2 linked regions of the Caenorhabditis elegans genome follow. The protein of the gene in region 2 interacts with the protein of the main gene of each other region in a biochemical or structural test. Each region holds a gene or a part of one and is shown on either strand. Other genes may lie near its edges. The genes, in order: nap-1 and his-61.

Region 1 (4,301 bases), 890 kb from region 2:
ATGTTTGTTCCTAGTGGATCTTTCTGCTCTAGACATATTTTTAAGCTTATGATTCTTTCAGAACATTCCACTTTATTTATACTATTTCGCCCCCAATCATTTTGTTCCATTTAACCAACTGGCTTCGATTAAATGAAAAGTGCACTTTGCAGCACAGAAACATTCGAAACTTTTTTCGGGTCTCTTCGATAAAGTACATGCTAGAGAACTCGAGAGAAGTAGACGCAGACATATGTTCTCTTTTTTCGCAACATTTCGAAATTTGAAGAGAAAAAAACCGACGACATTTAACTCGAAAATGTGTGCAAATACTTTTTCTGTTCTTCAAATATTTTGGGAAAGTAACAAGTATTTGTCTATTGAGACTAGAACTTTTAGGTAACACCAAACTGTATAATTGAGATAATAATAAGAAGATTACCATAATTTGAATATCTACCTTCAAATGAAAAACCAGTTGGCATTGATTTACATAATCTGTTGATGGACGCGAAAACTTCCGAAGAGTTGTGCTGAAGAACAATTAAATACATCTGAAAGGAATGTGTTGGGTGATACCGGTAAACGTCCAAAGTTCGAGTCTTGGTAAATTAAAAAAGCAATCCTCTCGCAGAGACGAGTTTTCACATCATATCGTCTTTCGTTTTCGATGATAATCAATATCTCTGCTTGTGACAGTCCTAGCAAGTCTAGCGATTCCGAGCACTGTGCTTTTAAGAGGAGTTGGTAGCCGTCCAACATAATGCAGAGGGTTTTGAAATAGACGATCTCTCCTGAAAGATGTTCCAGATGGCAAGACCTCAGAAGGACTGAAATTCGCAACAAGGGATTTTATTCATCACTTAATGCAGGATCACGAAAATATTGAAATTCGAGTTCAAAGTCGACTCGTGCCAGCTCATTCAAATCCTATCATAACTAGTATGAAGAATTTGCGAAACAACATACACCAGGATGAAGACAACATGTATCAAGTATTTCGACGACAACTCGTTTTCAGGTATATCTTTAGAGATTGGGAGAAGCGGAATATGGATAGGTCAGGGAATAAACGACAACAACAAGTAACAGCAACAATCGGTTTTCCGCCTATTATGTGAAGGGGTTGGGAATAATCAAAAAAATTTTAAAAAAGAAAATGGAAAATTAATAATTTCAAAAATTGGCAAATTAATAAGTGGTCCATCGATACTGCTTAAGCCTCATCGTCACTGAAGTCTGACACATCATCACCGTCCTCTCCTGGGAAATCGAACATATCGTCTGATTGAAGTTCTCCAGTGTAGAAAAGAACAGCACGTGGAATGATGGTATCACGGATAGCTTGTCCCATCTCGTAGTCGAGCTCAAGGAACTCCTCTGCCTGTTCATCGTCCTCATCTTCATTTCTCTCGTCCTTGCTCTTTGGTGGCTCGAAGAAGTTGAAGAAACTATCTGCTTTCACAGTTTTGGTGAGGAACTTTCCAGCATTAGCTCCCTTCTTTTGCTTCTTCTTGACAGCCTTCTTGGTGACGTTCTTGCCGTCTTCCCACTCAATAGTATCTCCGACAGCGCGGATGACATGTGGTCCATCGAATTGGAGTGGTGCCTCCGCATCTGGGTCGAAACCGAGCAAGTAGGTCTTGGTAAGAACTTGGTTTTTGAAGTATGGGTTGGTGGCAAAGTGGAACTCGATTTTGAAACCCTGAAGTTCAAAACATTAACTTTCGAAAACAATGAAATGCGCTTACGGCTGGATCCTTGCTAGCGGCGGTCGTCACATCAGTGAGATATGAGAGGATTGGTACGTCATGCTCCTCGATGGCTTCAGCAACAAGATCATGGGTTCTGAGAGCGGTGAGCCAGAAATCCTTGATCCCCTTTGCTGATGGGTCAGCCTCCGCAGCTTTGTACAATTCCTGAAACAAAGAAATGTCAACTAATAAGCTGGAATTGTCATAGCCATATCATCGCGCAAGAAACACAATCCAGGAGCGGGAATAAAGGACATGTTTTATTTCGCAACGAAAAAAGGCGTGCCCCACGGGAGGCAAATCTCTTGAATAGTTGCAGGCTATATAGGGAATCTTGATTAGGAACTTACAGCGAGTTGATCTCCCTCGAGTCCTTCGAGGATTGGAGTGTCGATTTGTTCTTTAGTTGGCTCGACCTCTCCCGCGACAATAGCCTTTCTTTGATCGAAAGTGGATTTGAACTTTCCTTCAAACTCGATCTCGAGCTCGTGAACACGTTTGTAGAAGTCAGATTCAATCTGAAATAAATTATATACTTAAGAACATAAACAAAGAAAACTAACCTGAATTGTCTTCATTTGAAGGTTTTTGAGAGCGCAGACGCGTTGCTTGACATTGAGAGGCAAAGCCTGAATCATGTCGAAGTTGGTGCTGAGAAGTCCAGCGTCAATATGCTCTTGATCAGCCATTTTATTACCTACAAAGCATAAATAGATGATTTTGGCATACTCTTTCAAGCAAAAAAATACGATGATTTTCGAAAATTCGAGAAAAAATCTGTAAAATTATTGTGAAACGAAGCAGTGCTGTCTAAAATCATAGGACGAGAGTTGAAAATATATTTTCCAAACAACCACTTCGCTCCTCCTCCATAAAATGTCTCTTCGCGGTGAGACCCGCGGTTAAAGGCGCACACAAGCTTATTATTTACGAGATGGTCTTTCATGCCTATATTATTTTTTATCAATGTTTTCATATTGTCGTTTGTTTTCTGGTTTGTTTTGGTGATTTACATATAATAATTGTATTGATTTTTATTTATAAAAGTATGGATTTGTTATGATAGTAAATTCTCCTGAAATTTGATTGCATTTGAAACTAATTGTAGGCACTTTTTTTTTTAAATAAACAGTTTTTTGCGTTTCAAATTCTAAAATTTGATAGCTCTTCAAATAACCCACATCTTGGAATCATATTTCTCGTTTTCTCGATTCTCTCGAAGTTCCTTAAGCTATTAGAATATTACACATAGCATTCGACGCCAGATGTTCCCCCGTTCAGCACAAAACTTCTCACTTTACTTTAAATATTTTCAACTTCCGAAAATCTTAGCGAGTTTTCAAATTCATTGTTATTTTCAGGGAAAAATGACGACGTCCTCAGAAAATATGCAAATTATGAATGGCGTGGAAGTGCCACCGTTCAGAAATTTTCACGAGTTTCTGCTGGAAACCGATCGATACGAGGTAGGCTTGAATTGTTATTACATATATTTTTAAAGAAGGGCCAACTTTTGTAGAAAATATATTTACATATGTTGAAGTTTGACTAAAGTGGTCGTTTAAAATTTTTACTTAGAGTTTAATTTAAAAATAATCGAGTTTTTTATTTCAATATTCAAAAGATAAAAATCCAATTGATTGATTTTCAGCGTCCACCATTTAACGACTTCAAGAAATGGAACAATCGAATAATCTCGAATCTTCTGTACTTTCAAACCAACTACTTTGTTACAATCATCACTTTATTCCTTCTGCACACGTTCATCAGTAGCCAGGACATTTTCGTCGGTCTTATCGCCGTTGTCGCCGTAATTGCAACTCTAATCTTTGCTGTCTCGGCTGATGCAAATATCAAAAAGGTAATGATTGACGGGAATGTGATGTTTTTATATTGATAAGAAATTCGAATTGTTGACGGAATTGATAGGTACAAAGTTTTATTGGAATTTGGAATTCAAAATTAGTTTAAGTTCAAGTTTCAGATGCAAAACGCAGCAGCATAAAATTAAGCCATGTCCACCGTAAAAAATAAAAAGAGCTCGTTTTTACCGTTTACCTGAATAGGATAAGTTAACATATGTTTCACGTAACAGTTTGTGCACTTCGTTGATGAAAATTATTGTTGTGATAATCGTTTTTTTGCAAGTTAAAGCTAAAAAAATAATTGAAAAATATAGATTAAAACATGATGGCACATAAAATTGGTCCAAAAACAATTACTGAAACCAAGAATTACCAAAAAAAAATCAAGTTTTAAGATGCGCACGGATCATCCATTGGTCACTCTTGGAGGAATAATTCTCGTTGCCTATTTCTTCATTTCTGTCTTCCAATCCGTTCTTGTGGTTGCCTTTGCGTAAGTTTTATAAAAAATTACTAATGTTGTAAAACTGTTTTCATAAGTGGACAATATTCTTATTTAATGTAAATTTGTCGCAGTTATAAATGGACTTAATAATCAAATATAACTGTAAAAAATAAAATTCTTAATGTGTTTTTTTTTTAATTTTGCTGAAATTAAAACAAAGATATATTTATTTTTGAACTCCTTGAAAGCCGGAAAATC
Region 2 (2,863 bases):
CTTGGATGGGATGTAGGATGCGTTCCTGTTAGCGCAAACTCTTCCAACTCTTAAATAAATTCGTTGGTTTTTATTTGTTTTATCCTGTAAACTAGCATAGATCTCAATAAAGGGGACTATTATTTTCTCAGTATTTTAATTTAATTTTTTACGCTCTATTACATCTTTCTACCAAATTATGGTAAATCATCGAGAAAGTTTTTTATTCAATTGTAAATTCAAACGATTAAATAAATTATATTCATCTTAAGAAAGAGAAGCATTCATTTTTTAACATACGACCTGAAGTTTGAAAGAAAAGTTGATAAAATCGAAATATTTCCTCAACACTGCTTTCCAGGTGAACAGAAAACGAAATAAATGCAAAGAAAAGTGAATCAAACAGGATTGAAGTTGATAGCTTTTCGAATTATCACAATTTCGTTCAACATTCACTATTAACGTGTCTTCAAGATTTATAATAATAAAAAACAATTTATTCAATTGATAGTTAGGATTTCAGATAATTGTGGCCCTAAAGAGGGCCGTTGGGTTCGGTTGGGTTTTTAAGAAAAAAGTTCTTATTCCTTGTCTCCACCAGTCTTCTTTGGAAGAAGAACAGCTTGGATATTTGGAAGAACTCCTCCTTGGGCGATGGTCACTCCGGCCAAAAGCTTGTTGAGCTCCTCGTCGTTTCGGACAGCGAGTTGAAGATGTCTTGGGGCGATACGGGTCTTCTTGTTGTCACGGGCAGCATTACCGGCCAATTCGAGAACCTCAGCAGCGAGGTATTCAAGAACAGCGGCCAAGTAAACTGGAGCTCCGGCTCCAACACGTTGAGCATAGTTTCCTTTGCGAAGAATACGATGAAGACGACCGACTGGGAATTGAAGTCCAGCTCTTGATGAGCGTGACTTGGCCTTTCCCCCGGTCTTGGCTTTGCCTCCCTTTCCACGTCCAGACATGATGAGCGGTTGGTGTTCGTAAGACGAATCTGAAGAATGAACCGAAACTGTCTGTTTATATTCATTTCTTCGGTGGCGGGGCGGAGCTTACTGCGGGGACACCTCTCGGTTCTCTGTCCCTCACCCTCCCCTGTTATCTCTAGCCTCATTGTTTGTCTGCGACACAGAGTCTCTGTGTCTCAAATTTACATGCATCGGTGCATTCGGAGTGTTGTGTGCACTCTGAAATGTGTCCCTGCAGGAAGCTCCGCCCATCCACCGCAGTTTTTACTTAAATATCTGCCGCTCCGACCATTTCCTCATACTTGATTCAAGTCCATTCTCATCATGCCACCAAAGCCATCCGCCAAGGGAGCCAAGAAGGCCGCTAAGACCGTCGTTGCCAAGCCAAAGGACGGAAAGAAGAGACGCCATGCCCGCAAGGAATCGTACTCCGTCTACATCTACCGTGTTCTCAAGCAAGTTCACCCAGACACCGGAGTCTCCTCAAAGGCCATGTCTATCATGAACTCCTTCGTCAATGATGTCTTCGAACGCATCGCCTCGGAAGCTTCTCGTCTCGCTCACTACAACAAGCGTTCTACCATCTCTTCTCGCGAAATTCAAACCGCTGTTCGTTTGATTCTTCCAGGAGAGCTTGCCAAGCACGCCGTGTCTGAGGGAACCAAGGCCGTCACCAAGTACACCTCCAGCAAGTAAGCCATTGGCTGAAAACTAACCAACCGAACCCAACGGCCCTCTTTAGGGCCACAAATATTGAAATCCTTACAAAACTACATGTTCGTTAATAAATTATATGCACTCTTATATATTCACGTCTTTTATATTAGGTCTTTTCTTGAAATCTTAATCTAGTATTACGTTTTCCTAGCCTTCGAAGGAATTCAAGAGTTCGAACTTATCATTCATAAAAATGCGTTCAATCTAATCAATCTAAATAAAATAAATCTCGTCTGTTTAATGAGGAAACTCAAATTTAATTAAGGTGGAATTTCACATTTCAAATGTCGCAGAGGAAATCGATCGGTGACCGAAGAAGCTTAGAGAAGGTAACATGAAAATGTCTATATTCACGGAAATTTAAAGTTTGTGTCACAAAAATAATAAAGGCAACAAACTAATTAAACAACAAATTTTAGACCATGTACCAAGAAATTTAGTTTCAATAATCTTCAGAACACGGTGACTGCTCTGGTGAATTTCCAAGCGATAATTTGTTCAGGCAAAGGAACACATTAAACGTCGGAATAATGATGGTGATTGTCAGCTTCATGTGCAAAATTAATTAAATTTTTATCGAACCTGATGATGAAATTACCTTAAAAAAATTTATGATATTGTATACAGCGTGGCAAAACATTTTTATTAGCAAAGAAAAATTAGGATTTTGGATATTTGTGGCCCTAAAGAGGGCCGTTGGGTTCGGTAATTGGTTTGTATGAAAACAGAAAAGACAAAAGAAATTATCCTCCGAATCCGTACAGAGTTCTTCCTTGGCGCTTCAGAGCGTAGACGACATCCATGGCGGTTACGGTCTTTCTCTTGGCGTGCTCGCAGTAAGTGACAGCATCACGGATGACATTCTCAAGGAATACCTTCAAGACTCCACGGGTTTCCTCGTAGATCAATCCAGAAATTCTCTTGACTCCTCCTCTTCTAGCGAGACGACGGATGGCTGGCTTGGTGATACCTTGGATGTTATCACGGAGAACCTTACGATGGCGCTTGGCACCTCCTTTTCCGAGGCCTTTTCCTCCCTTTCCACGTCCGGACATTGTTGATTCAGTTGAAGACTCACAAGTGAGATGAAGGAATGACATCACAGGATTCCTTATGTACCGAGCTGTGGTGAGTAGGCGGAGTCACATTGAACCATTCTGCGGGGACACATTTCTGCTGTTTGCAACACACCGAATATT

The links.
Region 1: the proteins of his-61 (region 2) and nap-1 are reported together in a solved structure, tested with the Caenorhabditis elegans proteins (one study listed by BioGRID).

What each region holds. Positions count from the first base shown.
Region 1 is NC_003282.8:8,376,890-8,381,190, forward strand, and holds nap-1 (Nucleosome assembly protein 1-like 1), read right to left. Parts: upstream 2,431-4,301; 5' UTR 2,423-2,430; coding exon 2,297-2,422; intron 2,252-2,296; coding exon 2,084-2,251; intron 2,053-2,083; exon of another isoform or gene 1,931-2,052; intron 1,899-1,930; coding exon 1,731-1,898; intron 1,685-1,730; coding exon 1,196-1,684; 3' UTR 816-1,195; downstream 1-815. Other genes in the region: D2096.7 (ELYS domain-containing protein), read right to left, coding at 422-512, 559-741; praf-3 (PRA1 family protein), read left to right, coding at 3,101-3,199, 3,385-3,594, 3,994-4,091.
Region 2 is NC_003282.8:7,485,274-7,488,136, forward strand, and holds his-61 (Histone H2A), read right to left. Parts: upstream 945-2,863; coding exon 561-944; downstream 1-560. Other genes in the region: Kinetochore-associated protein rod-1, read left to right, coding at 1-54; his-62 (putative histone H2B 4), read left to right, coding at 1,272-1,643; his-60 (Histone H4), read right to left, coding at 2,408-2,719. UniProt on the Caenorhabditis elegans protein: Core component of nucleosome. Nucleosomes wrap and compact DNA into chromatin, limiting DNA accessibility to the cellular machineries which require DNA as a template.